Linked DNA regions of Nothobranchius furzeri. The protein of the gene in region 1 purifies or fractionates together with the protein of each later gene. This does not show direct contact. Links are inferred from orthologs where the notes say so. Each region holds a gene or a part of one and is shown in the gene's direction. Other genes may lie near its edges. The genes, in order: tnip2, map3k8 and tank.

What was found.
Region 2: the proteins of tnip2 (region 1) and map3k8 purify together in Homo sapiens (affinity purification with mass spectrometry; 3 studies listed by BioGRID and IntAct, with this or other methods). This does not show direct contact. The link is inferred for Nothobranchius furzeri from reciprocal best matches to the Homo sapiens genes TNIP2 and MAP3K8.
Region 3: the proteins of tnip2 (region 1) and tank purify together in Homo sapiens (affinity purification with mass spectrometry; 3 studies listed by BioGRID and IntAct, with this or other methods). This does not show direct contact. The link is inferred for Nothobranchius furzeri from reciprocal best matches to the Homo sapiens genes TNIP2 and TANK.

What each region holds. Positions count from the first base shown.
Region 1 is NC_091744.1:17,108,086-17,112,368, reverse strand, and holds the start of tnip2 (TNFAIP3-interacting protein 2), read left to right. Parts: upstream 1-1,454; 5' UTR 1,455-1,657; coding exon 1,658-1,981; intron 1,982-2,099; coding exon 2,100-2,393; intron 2,394-2,519; coding exon 2,520-2,609; intron 2,610-2,746; coding exon 2,747-2,992; intron 2,993-3,076; coding exon 3,077-3,193; intron 3,194-3,297; coding exon 3,298-3,567; 3' UTR 3,568-4,283. UniProt on the Homo sapiens protein: Inhibits NF-kappa-B activation by blocking the interaction of RIPK1 with its downstream effector NEMO/IKBKG.
Region 2 is NC_091747.1:30,279,775-30,284,109, reverse strand, and holds the start of map3k8 (mitogen-activated protein kinase kinase kinase 8), read left to right. Parts: upstream 1-1,532; 5' UTR 1,533-1,635; intron 1,636-2,084; 5' UTR 2,085-2,159; coding exon 2,160-2,450; intron 2,451-2,533; coding exon 2,534-2,704; intron 2,705-4,335. Other genes in the region: mtpap (poly(A) RNA polymerase, mitochondrial), read right to left, coding at 1,103-1,253.
Region 3 is NC_091754.1:19,414,264-19,417,404, forward strand, and holds the end of tank (TRAF family member-associated NF-kappa-B activator), read left to right. Parts: intron 1-1,152; coding exon 1,153-1,553; intron 1,554-2,109; coding exon 2,110-2,277; 3' UTR 2,278-2,558; downstream 2,559-3,141.

The sequences.
Region 1 (4,283 bases):
TTTAAAAATGTGTTTAAAGAGAACCAAAACCTATTCTAACCAACCTTGTTTATGTGAAAATGTAATGGACCTTTGGAGTTTTCCCATCATTAGCTCCTTTTGTAGGGTCACAGGTCAGATTTTCTCCTTTAGGATTTTCTAGTAGAGAGCAGAATTCATGGTTTCCACAATTACAGCAAGTCATCTAGGTCTTGAAGAAGCAAAGCAGTCCCAGACCATCATGCTACCTCTACCATGCTTGACTGTTGGTACTGTGATCTAACAGAAATCAGGCCTGGGTGCAGCTAGTGAATATGAACTCAGCTTTCCAAATAAAGTAGTTAATACATTTTTTTTCATGATCAGAACCAAGTTGGTTTGGATAGCTTTAATAAAAAAAAACTATTCATTTGAAGCTGCATTTTGTATTTACTCAAGTTTGTCTGATATTTAAAAATTTAGGTGTGAAAATAAAAGTGAAAGCAGAATAAATCTGAAATGGGGTAGATTTTTTTTGGCCACAGAAATTTACATTGCGTTTCCTGTAAAGATTAGATCAAACTCGCTATCATAAGAAATGCCTAACAAAAAAAGAGCATGTTTACTGATCTTTCATTATTCAAATAATGTCAGTGCATCAGAAACATGAGGTCATATGAAAGTAATCTCACTGATAACACGTTGCAAAGATTGGTCATGTGTTGGTAGTGCAGTTATGCTTGGATTCCATGTGATGATGAGGTTGGTTTATTAGTGGAACAGGTTTAGTGCTGTAAGAAAGCAGTAATGAACCATACGACCATTAAAAAAAAGACCATACAAAACTCATGTATCAATTTTCTGGTTTAGCCTAAATGGAATTACTCAGATAATAATAATAATAATAATAATAATAATAATAATAATAATAATAATAATAATAATAATAATAATAATGAGCTAAAAAGTATCAAATGCAGTGGGGGAAATTCACATGGACAAAATAATGGACTGTGAGGGGAATTCATATACTGAATCATCTGATGTGATTGGTAGGGACGGGATGTTTGGTAACTGGGAAACTGTACTTGTTAGCATCTATTTGTGTTGCCATATACTTTCAGGTGAAAGCCACCACCCAAATACTGGGTTCACAAAAAATGTAACTTAGATTAGCATTTTTTGTGACTCACGTGAATAATATTCGAAATGTGTAGAGTGGGGATTGTTCTATCAGGTGAACTCGTTTGGTTTGTGCTGAATGTTCTCGAATTTACGACGGCAGTGAATGCAGCAGTGATATCAATTTTCTGGTTGCCTAACTAGCCGACGCTAGCTAGCTGAAGACAGCAAGAAAGGGGAATCGTTTTGTGTTTTTGTACAAACAGCCAGTGAATTTGTGCCAACAGCCTGACAAGCCTCCACTTTTTTTTACCAACGGATCTCGGCAGTGAGTCTTTGAAAGCCAGGCTCCGTTTTGACGACGCTCAGAAAAGTCCGCGGGGAAGTTCCCTAGGAAATCCCCCAAGAGCGTCCGGGGATATTCTCGACACTGATGCGCCAGATCTCCTCCAGAATTCACCTTCTCGGTGTGTTTCTGAAAGACTCAGAGTAAGAGGCAGAGGCGTCAAATGCTGGATTATTAAAAGACTGAAACCGTTTTTCGCGAAATCTACAAATTTTAAGCATTGCGATTGCGATGGATAGCTCGAGTAGTTTGAAGGCGGAGAACGAGGCGCAGCCGAAGGACAAAATGCGGAGCTACAGCGTGTTAAACACTTTGTTTCACGAGACGAGGCAGGAAATCGAGCTTCTCAACAAACAGATCTGCGTAAAGGACAATATAATCGCAGATTTAAAGTCCAGGGTCGGGAGGCATGAGAGGATCTGCATGACGATGGGAGACGACGAGCGGGTGTTCCTCGGTCCCTCCAAGTCTTTGGTGGAGAGTTTACTGAAGGAGCTGTGCAAAATAAAACAGAAGAAAGATGATCTGGAGCTCAAGGCATCCTGTCAAGCAGAGGTAAAAAACCAGCAGCTCCAAAGGAAGCTTCAAATATGTAAAAAGCATGATTTATTTCTGTCATTTTCAGGAAAAAAGTTGGTTTCTCATACTTTCTTCTTTGTGTCCCCCAAACTAGGAGATCCAGAGGTTGAACCTGCAGCTCAGAGAGAAAGATCTGGAGCTGGAGAGCATCAGGTGTCAGCCGGACCACGACAAGGACCAGGAGATCCACAGGCTGAGGACAGCCCTGGAGGAGAAGCAGCGGGCCGAAGCCACCAGGACCGTGCTCTGCACGTCGCTGGCCGAAGAAGCTGACCAGCTGCGGGGTCAGCTCAGCGCCACAGTGAGGGTGTGCCAGGAGCTGCTGGGCAGGCTGGAGAAGAAGGGAGGAGACGGAGAAGAAGTGGAGGAAGTGTCCCAGCAGCAAAAAGTACAATTTCATCTTATTTTATAATATTTTTGCTCAATATATATATATATAAACAATATAAAAAATCAATGCCTTCTTTGCTCTTTTTGAGTTATTTATTAACCCCTTTTTGACTTTTTATTCCAGACGCCCAGCTCTTCTGACCTAAGTGCTGCCAAATCCCAAATTCATCAGCTTCAAGAGGAGAACCAACAGCTGAAGCAGCGCGTAGCTTATGTGCGTTTGTATTTTTGATTTCAACAGATTTCCCCCTATATTTCAGTGCAAAATTTTACTTCCAACCAAATCTGTTATCAGCTGCACACACAATTTCTAATGCTGAGCTTTGCTTCTTATTTATTTCCATTGTTTAGGTACAGAGTTTGAATTCTCAGTGGCAGAAGTATGACTCAAGCAGGGAGGACTACATCCGAGGGTTGTGTCAGAGGCTGAAGGAGAACACCGGGCAGGGCTCCGTCAGCTCAGTGTTGCTTCATCAGGAGATCGCCAGGCTCAACACTTTACTGGAGGAGAAAATAAGAGACTGTTCAAGGTTGGAGAGAGAGGTGGAGGAGATAAGGAGGCAAGGCCAAGAGCGAATCCAGACCTTGGAGCAGCAGGTTGGTATTAATGTAATATTAGCACATTTAAAGTGATCGTAATCGTTTTGTGAATTTTCAAAGTTGTTTTGTTTTCCCCGTAAGGTTTTGATTTATACAGACGACTTTAAATCAGAGCGAGCCGACAGAGCGCGTGCACAGGGTCAGATCGCAGACCTGAAGGAGCAGATTTCTCAGCTGAAGCAGCAGATCCACAAACAGGTGAGGTGTCAGATCGTCATTTAGATGCTTCTGTACAAGCATCCACTCATTTTTTTACTTATTACAGCCACGTGGCTTGACAAGGTGTTTGTAAATCTCTGCAGGGAGCAGGCAGAGACCTGGGTTCTGTGTGCCGTGTTCACATAGGACACAGGATCTCCTCGAGGCGAAGTAAGGACTCCTCAGAGCCTCTGCTAAGGGCTGCTGCTGAAAGGCCGCCGCCGCCTGCAGTGGACGCTGCTGCTGCAAACGTAACAAATTGGAACGAACTCCCAGGTCTGTCGGAACTACAGTGTCCGCACTGCTCCGCCAGGTTCAACGACACAGAAGCTGCAGAGTGCATGAACCATTTTGAAGAGTGCGCCCGGCTATAAACGAAAACCAGTTTTTGATTCTCTACTGAACACTGTAAAGCAGCACTACAATGCAGGAAGCAACCTGGGTGGAGGTTCAGATTAAATAACTGACATCTTGAGATGTGAACATAACCCCAAACTTTCCATTTTGCAAGAGAAAATGAGTTCATGGTTTTAGATCTGTACAAACACCCAGACAGAGTTGTCCCATGGCACTGCAGGAGATTACTGTGTTGGGGAGAGAAGATGCCAATGCAGTTTTTAAAATGTTATATACCTCAATGTCAAATTACAATCTTTTTGCACTTTTTTGTTATTTAGCCCAAAAAAAAACCATTGTGTTATCATAATGCGATTAAAATATTATTGATGCATAAGCTTCTTACTTTGGGTTTATACCTAATTGTTTATGTGGTGCTATTGTTAGTGTTTCTTTAAGTAAATATATTCTTTTAATGACAGATTTAAAAAGTCTAACTATATTAATATTTATTTGTATTTCTCATTGGAAAAGAGTGATTGTTTCAGTGCAATGTCTTGTTTTTATATCCAACTTAAGCCATAAATGTTGTGTAAACATGTATTTTTAAATACATGACAGGCAGAAATAAATATTTCAATCATTTTTAAAGCAGTATATGTAAATAATGCATCCAAACTGACATAAAATCATTTTTAAAGACTTAGTTTTTTTCCTGTAGATGTTATTTTTGTAATAAAACATGTTGTTTCCT
Region 2 (4,335 bases), on another chromosome or scaffold:
TGAGACCATCCCATGTATGGTGTAGTGGATGTTCAATACGTCAGCACCTTCTGATCCCTGGAATGCTAAAGGAAGTCCCTTTCATCATGCCTCGAAACATGGGCAAGCATTTCTGATGTTTAACAGAGTTATGACTGGGGCAGCAGTAGCTCAACAGGTTGAGCGGGTTGTCCAGTAATCGGAAGGTTGCAGGTTCGATCCCGGCTCCGGACAGAGAATTCTGCTGTTGTGTCCTTGGGCAAGACACTTAACCCACCTTGCCTGCTGCTGGTGGTGGTCGGAGGGACCGGTGGCGCCTGTGCTCGGCAGCCTCGCCTCTGTCAGTGCGCCCCAGGGCAGCTGTGGCTACATTGTAGCTCATCGCCACCAGTGTGTGAATGTGTGTGTGAATGGATGAATGATACACTGTAGTGTAAAGCGCTTTGGAGTCCTTACTCTGAGAGGCACTATACAAGTGCGGATCATTTATCATGACACAAGGAGAAACTGTGTGGGGGGTTTAACTCCAATAAAGGTTTGTTAATTTACTGATTTATCAATATTCCCTAAAGTATGAAGGTCAGACTAACCCAGATAGGACACTAGTCCAAGCAAGTCTGTTTTGAACACATTCAAATGAATGCATTGATTATTTTCAATAATCAGAAAACGAAGCACGTACGGTATGTAACCAGCCAGAGGCAAAAGCTCAGACATCAGTGTGCAAACACAAACCTTGGCTTAAGTCTATCAGAAAAATCCAAACATTCACATCAAGAAAAACAAATATGAATTAACTTAATGAGCGCCTATGTGCGTCAGCGGACTCCAAAGTGCTTTACACCACTGTAAACCATTCATCCAGTCACATGGTGACGAGCTGTGGACGCAGCTGCCCCGGGGCATACTGACAGAAACGCGCATTGTTTTTCATTCCTTAAGATTTGCCTGGGCAAACACAAAGCCGAAAGTTACCTGAACCTAGATGATATTTTACAAACATACAATACTTTAGAAATCCAATCAACTCTGCAAACTGGAGCCAAGGAAACAAAAACTCATGATTTCTTAAAGAGGTTTGAAACAGTTGTCCCTGTAAAGTTATTTAACTCTTTGTACGAACCACTTCCGTCTCTCTCAGTTGTCTGCGCTTGGGCAACAGCAGCGTCTGTTCCAACACCCCTGTGCAGAAACGTGTCCACCTTTTGTAAACAATTTAACAAGCAGGTCCTTCCCCTCAAATGTAACCGAGAAACGGCTATGGAAGACGCCATAGTTGTTCAAGTAAAAGCCAGATTACGCATGCGCAAACTCTGATCTACGGCAAGCAAGAGGCACCAAAAGGTCTCAATCGCCTAAATTATTTTTATTTTAGGTTTGTCAAATTTATAAAAGGATAAAAACATTAACTGAACATTGAAACAATTTATTGTAACCATTTTAAAAGAAAACACAAATGTTTAGAAAAAAAATCCATCCTATTTTTAAAGCCAAAATAAAAAAGAGAAGAAAAAGAAAAATACCTACGTGTGTTTGGACTCTAACTTCCGGTATTTACTTCCTTCCGAGAGTCAAGTCGACAGTCGTCTCTGACGGCAGAAGGGCTCAGAGTCTGGAGGAGAGATGCGACTCCGGAGACCGCAGAGAACACCCAAGGCAAGTGCTTTTATTCACGACTGACCCTAAATAACCGGCTCGTGATGGTTTATTCGCTTAAAATAACCTTTTATTTGCCTGTGTGTGTACATATACATATATACTGAGAATGTTTACTTATAAACACAACATTTTAGCAGGTATTTCAGTCTAATGCAATTAGATAATATAAAGTGCATTAATAAAAGGAGAATTAATGTAAACATTTTACATTTCTTTATTAGAAGGCACTAAATGCTGATCTAAACCTTAAAGTTTTCTGTTTTGTTTTGTTTGGGGGGTTTTACAAGCCGAGTCCTCCACGGGTTTCTGGAATTTCCCAGCTTGACCAGACTGTCCTGATGTGGATAGAGAAGTGCTCTCGGAGGCCCTTTTCAGCTTCAGGGTTCAGACAGTTGTGTTGAAGCTGGAGCCGAGCTAAGATCTTGTTCTCTCTCCTTTCTGACCAGGAGCTTGGTGATTTGCCCAAAACGTCACCTCCTGATGCAGGAATTCAGGCGGAGTAGCAGAAGCTGAGCATAAAGATGGATTACAGATATGAAACTGGACTAGAACTGCTGCTGGCTCACATGAATGTAGAGGACATTATCAACGCAGCAGAGATGCTCCATCAGCTAGAGGAGGCCAGCCAGGAGGAGATGGGCGAGAGGGAGGAGGCAGGTTTGGTGGATGAGCAGAAGGACTATGCTAATGAAATTGGGGGTGTTCAGTATGGGACAGTGACAGACCTCCTGTCTTTTGTGAACTTCCTGTCTAACATGCAGACATCAGCCCTGCAGCACCTCAGTAAGGAGATGGGAGTCCTCCTGAGCAAGGTGTGCCTAGTTTTCAATTTGCCTGCATAAAAAACATTTTCATGAGCTTTTTTACTTTCCAATCTTTCTCTTTTCCATTTCAGAAAGATATGGCGATTAGAAAAGGTCGCTATCAGGTCAGCATGGATGTGCTTTTGTTTCCTTGGAAATTGACCTACAAGAATCCTGGCTCTGGCCTTGTTCCCAAGGGTTCCTTTGGGAAAGTCCACCTGGCCCAGGACACCATGACCAGGAAGAGGATGGCCTGTAAACTGGTGAGTCTGACTGGAATTCAGTTCATCGTGTATTAGGGCTGCTCAATTAATCGAACTTTAATCACAATTACGATCTGAGTTTTGACCGATTATAAAAACAAAACAAGCCGATTATTTGCTCCTCCCACTTGCGCTGCCCTGAGGCAAATGAAGCGCTCCTCCCACAGTGTTGCCAACTTGGCGACTTTGACGCTATTTCTAACAGCTTCTCAGACCCCCTTCTTGACTTTTTAAATCTTAAAAGTACCTAGCGAACACCTCAGAAACATCTCTGGTAACCCTTAGCTACTTTCTGGATAACTGTCGTCGACATTTCCTGCAGGTTAGCTAAACACTCCGCCTGCGCTCCGGACCGTTCTTCAGGACATTAGGAAAGGGAATGATGTAGTGATCTGTCGGTCGCTAAAGAAACGGCTCTCAGGGCCGGCTCCCTGTTGGGTCAACCAGAGTGAGTGACACACACACCGCACCTGCGGACTCCTGAGCCGCTAAAAACGGCTAAATGTGCGCGTGCGGCAGTGGCGTGTCCAGATCTTTTAAAATGGGGTGGCCCAGGTGAGGCACAACTTTATGCATGGGTGGCACCAATGGTTATGCTTTTTTGTTTTACCCCCAAGCCTTTTGTGGACAATGAAAAGCCCATTTAAAGTAAATTAGTGTGGTGGCTCCTGGGGTGGCCAATCAGATTCCAAGGGTGGCATGTGCTACCCCAGGCCACTCCCTGGACACGCCCCTGGTGTACGGCGTGCTAAACACACGTGCAGCTTGCCCCGATGGCTGAGACCGGGTTGGGGGGTGGGGGGTGCAGCTGTGGTTGGGACAATTATTACATTAACTGATGGATTGTAAATAAATAGTTTATAAATAAGGTAGAAACAAGTTCCTCACGCTGATAACTAATAACTAATCTCTCTGAGGACACGGTGCTAGTGCACTCTCCTACAGCACCTTGAGATGACTCAGTAAATGTTATGCAAGATTTTGTGAACATCAATTTATTTGCATGTATTTGTTATAAATGCCACTGTATAATTCTTACTGTCAGTATTTGCAGGATATTGGTATTTGGGTCTGTACTGGTTAGACTTAAATGAGTTAAACCAAGGTCTATAGCCCTTGGGTCATAGACTATGAGCTATAAGTATATTGGTCTGTTTATACTGGGAATCAGGAGTTATTTTAGTGATCATCTTGTTTCTTATTTATTTTTGTCCTGATTGTGCCCTGAGCAATTTTATGGCTGAATAAAAACAAATAAAATCAACATAAATTGAAAAATCGTCCTAAATAATCGAGATCTCAATTTCAGTCACAATAATCGTGATTATTATTTTTGCCATAATCGAGCAGCCCTATCGTGTATTTCTCTATGCCGCCAGAAGCAGCTTTTTATTGACACAGCTACTTCCAGGATTGTGCGGATGCTGTGAGTCACATTCACTAGAGGAACAGGACCGAGTGCCCTTAAAAGGACGTGTTCCTCTCACGCAAGAACAGAAATAAAACCTTCCTGCAGCTGCTCTTTAGATTTCTGTACATGTATTCACAAATCACTTATTTTTTTCAACAATGTGTGCGTGTGTGTGTGTGTGTGTGTGTGTGTGTGTGTGTGTGTGTGTGTGCATGTGCGT
Region 3 (3,141 bases), on another chromosome or scaffold:
ATGGCCCCATTCGTTCTGTCCTTAACACGGATCAGTCGTCCTGTCCCCTTAGCAGAAAAACAGCCCCAAAGCATGATGTTCCCACCCCTATGCTTCACAGTAGGTATGGTGTTCTTGGGATGCAACTCAGTATTCTTCTTCCTCAAAACACGACGAGTTGAGTTTATACCAAAAAGTTCTACTTTGGTTTCATCTGACCACATGACATTCTCCCAATCCTCTGCTGTATCATCCATGTGCTCTCTGGCAAACTTCAGACGGGTCTGGACATGCACTGGCTTCAGCAGCGGAACACGTCTGGCACTGCAGGATTTGAGTCCCTGCCGTTGTAGTGTGTTACTGATGGTGACCTTTGTTACTGTGGTCCCAGCTGTCTGCAGGTCATTCACCAGGTCCCCCCTTGTGGTTCTGGGATTCTTGCTCACCGTTCTCATGATCATTTTGACCCCACGGGATGAGATCTTGCGTGGAGCCCCAGATCAACTGATGTTATTGGTCAACATTTAGCATGAAAATAAGGTGGAAAAATGCCTTGATATCAGCCATGAAAATCGGCCCAAAAAACAGCTGCACATATTAGCCATCGGCTGACCATGTCTCTTACACATCGCCATCAGTATCAGCAATAGAAAACCCAACATGGGTTGACCTCTAGTTAAATGTCAAAGTCTCATCTCTAGTGCTGATTCTTTACATCTTTGCATGCTATTTATACCATATAAAATATAAAATCAGAAGCCTGTTGGGTATTTGATGAATGCATTTGCAGGGGAAACCACTACACCTACAGTGTGGACCAGTGAGAACCAGTATCAAAATGCATGGGGGTGCAATTATAAGCACTGTCGCCTCTTAGCAAGAAGGTCACCTTTTCAGATCTGTACAGCGGCCGTTCCACTTGGAGCTGGCGTGTACTCCTAATGCACGAGTGGGTTTTTACTGGTGTCCTCCCACAGGCCAAAACATGCATGTTAGGGTTCATTTGTAAGTCTTTTAGATAATTGTAGCAAAATGCAATCAAATAAACATTTTTTAAGGTTAATGGTATATGTAACCTGTCAAGATGTGTCTCAAGTGTAACTGTCCTTTAACCAGTATAAAATGAGAAACAGCAAAAACTATGGAACATCACATTTTTCCTTCCTTATCCAGATCAGCGGTTCTCCATGCCCATCCAGTGTACGGACCGAACCGCAGAGGTAGAAAGGCCCTTTCCCTCAGCTTTAAGGGCAGCTGCGGACATCCCTCACCTGCCTGCATCTCTGGCATCCCGTGGTGCCGCTCACGAGGACAGGGACTTGGTAGACTCTCTCACCAAACTCAGTGTGAAATTCCCACCCCCTGCGGACAGTGAATACGATTTTCTGAACAGTGCTCCAGAGAGGAATCCTAATCTGGCCATGCCCATGAAGCTGCAGCCTCCCAGCAGCACCTCTCCGGCGCTGACGAAGGAGAAGCCCATGGAACTGCCTTTGCTTTTTGTCTATCCCACGTCTCCCTCCCACTCGACACCCTCTTCACCCTCCCAAGAGAGTGTGCGGGGACCCCAGCAGGTGAGAAACCCAGGAGAAGGTCTGAGAAAAGTAGTAGCAAATTATCAGTTTCTGATTGGTCTTTGCTAATGGAGGAATAAAACAGTGTGAAGTCCAAAAATATCTCCTTGGCTAAACTTGAAACATATTACCATGTAATGTGTGTGTATTCCTTTTTCTTTTTTTTTATTTGAGCACGGACGCTCTGGTTATATTTGGCGTCTTTGCCTGAAAGTGGGAGCCAGATGGAAGCACGTTGGAACAAGTATGAGGGGCCTATGTAGGATTTTATTGCTGATGTGTTTTAATAAATAATGGTGAATGACGAGATGGGAAAAAGTTTGTGCCGTTTAATTACAGTTTGGTTAGTTTGGATGAACCCAAAAATAGGAAGATAATTAAACACTTGAGAATAGATTTTCCTTTCTGCTGCTGTTTGTTCTCACTATAGAATGGATGACTTTGAAAGCAACAGATCCTTAAACCTCAGGGCCAAGTTTGTGGAGCATACTTGAGTGTAAAAATGGTTTCAAGAATAAATAACAGCTTACATCTCCGATTGTTTTTGAAATTGCAGTCTCTCTGGAGTCCTGGGTTGTGCGAGGCGGGCGACATCGGGACAGATCAGGAGCCTCAGAGCGGCAGTCCGAATAAATGTGCTTTCTGCAACGCCGTGGTTCCTCAGAACCGGATGAACAGCCACCTATTCTTGCACTGCTCTCCTAGGAACGAAACCAATGATTGACGGCGGCAGCAGAGACTCATGGACCAAGGTCCCAACTACTTTTTAAACATTTTACTGTGTTCATCATGATCCACTTCCTGCCTGCCTTGAAGTCCAAGAAGCGCTGTACAGGAACTGAACTTACACTTCTATAAGACTTGAATCCATCTATTTAATACTTAATATTGAAATGGTACACTTTTTTTATTTTGCTCACATTGATTTTCTACTATCAGACTGAGATTTTATGGTGATGCATATAAATATATATTTGAGAAAATAAACCAGTATTTACTCCTGTAGCAGTTTTTTAATATGAATATGAAAATTTTCAGCCATGCAATAATGTGCATTTATTTAAAATATAAGCAAACATCTAGGTGATCTAGTAATGGAGTTCCATGATCCGTTTAAATTATATTCTGGGTTAAAAGGACTAAAAAAAGCTAGAAAATCAGCTGATTATAAAAATTAGACTGATCATTAAATCAGCGCTAATGTTCATCGGTACACAGCCTTTCCAGCGGTGACGGTTGTGGTCGGAGGGACCGGTGGCGCCTGTGCTCGGCAGCCTCACCTCTGTCAGTGTGCCCCAGAGCAGCTGTGGCTACATCGTAGCTCATGACCATCAGTGTGTAAATGGATGAATGATACACTGTAGTGTAAAGTGCTTTGGAGTCCTCTGACTCTGAAAGGCGCTACTCAAGTGCGGGTCATTTATCACTATTATAACGAAGTTCAAGTACTTTGTTACTGTATTTACACAACAAACATATAAACGCAACACCTTTGTTTCTGCTCTGATTTTTCATGAGATGGACTTAAAGATCTAAAATTCATTACAGATACACAATATTACCATTTCTCTCAAACATTGTTCACAAA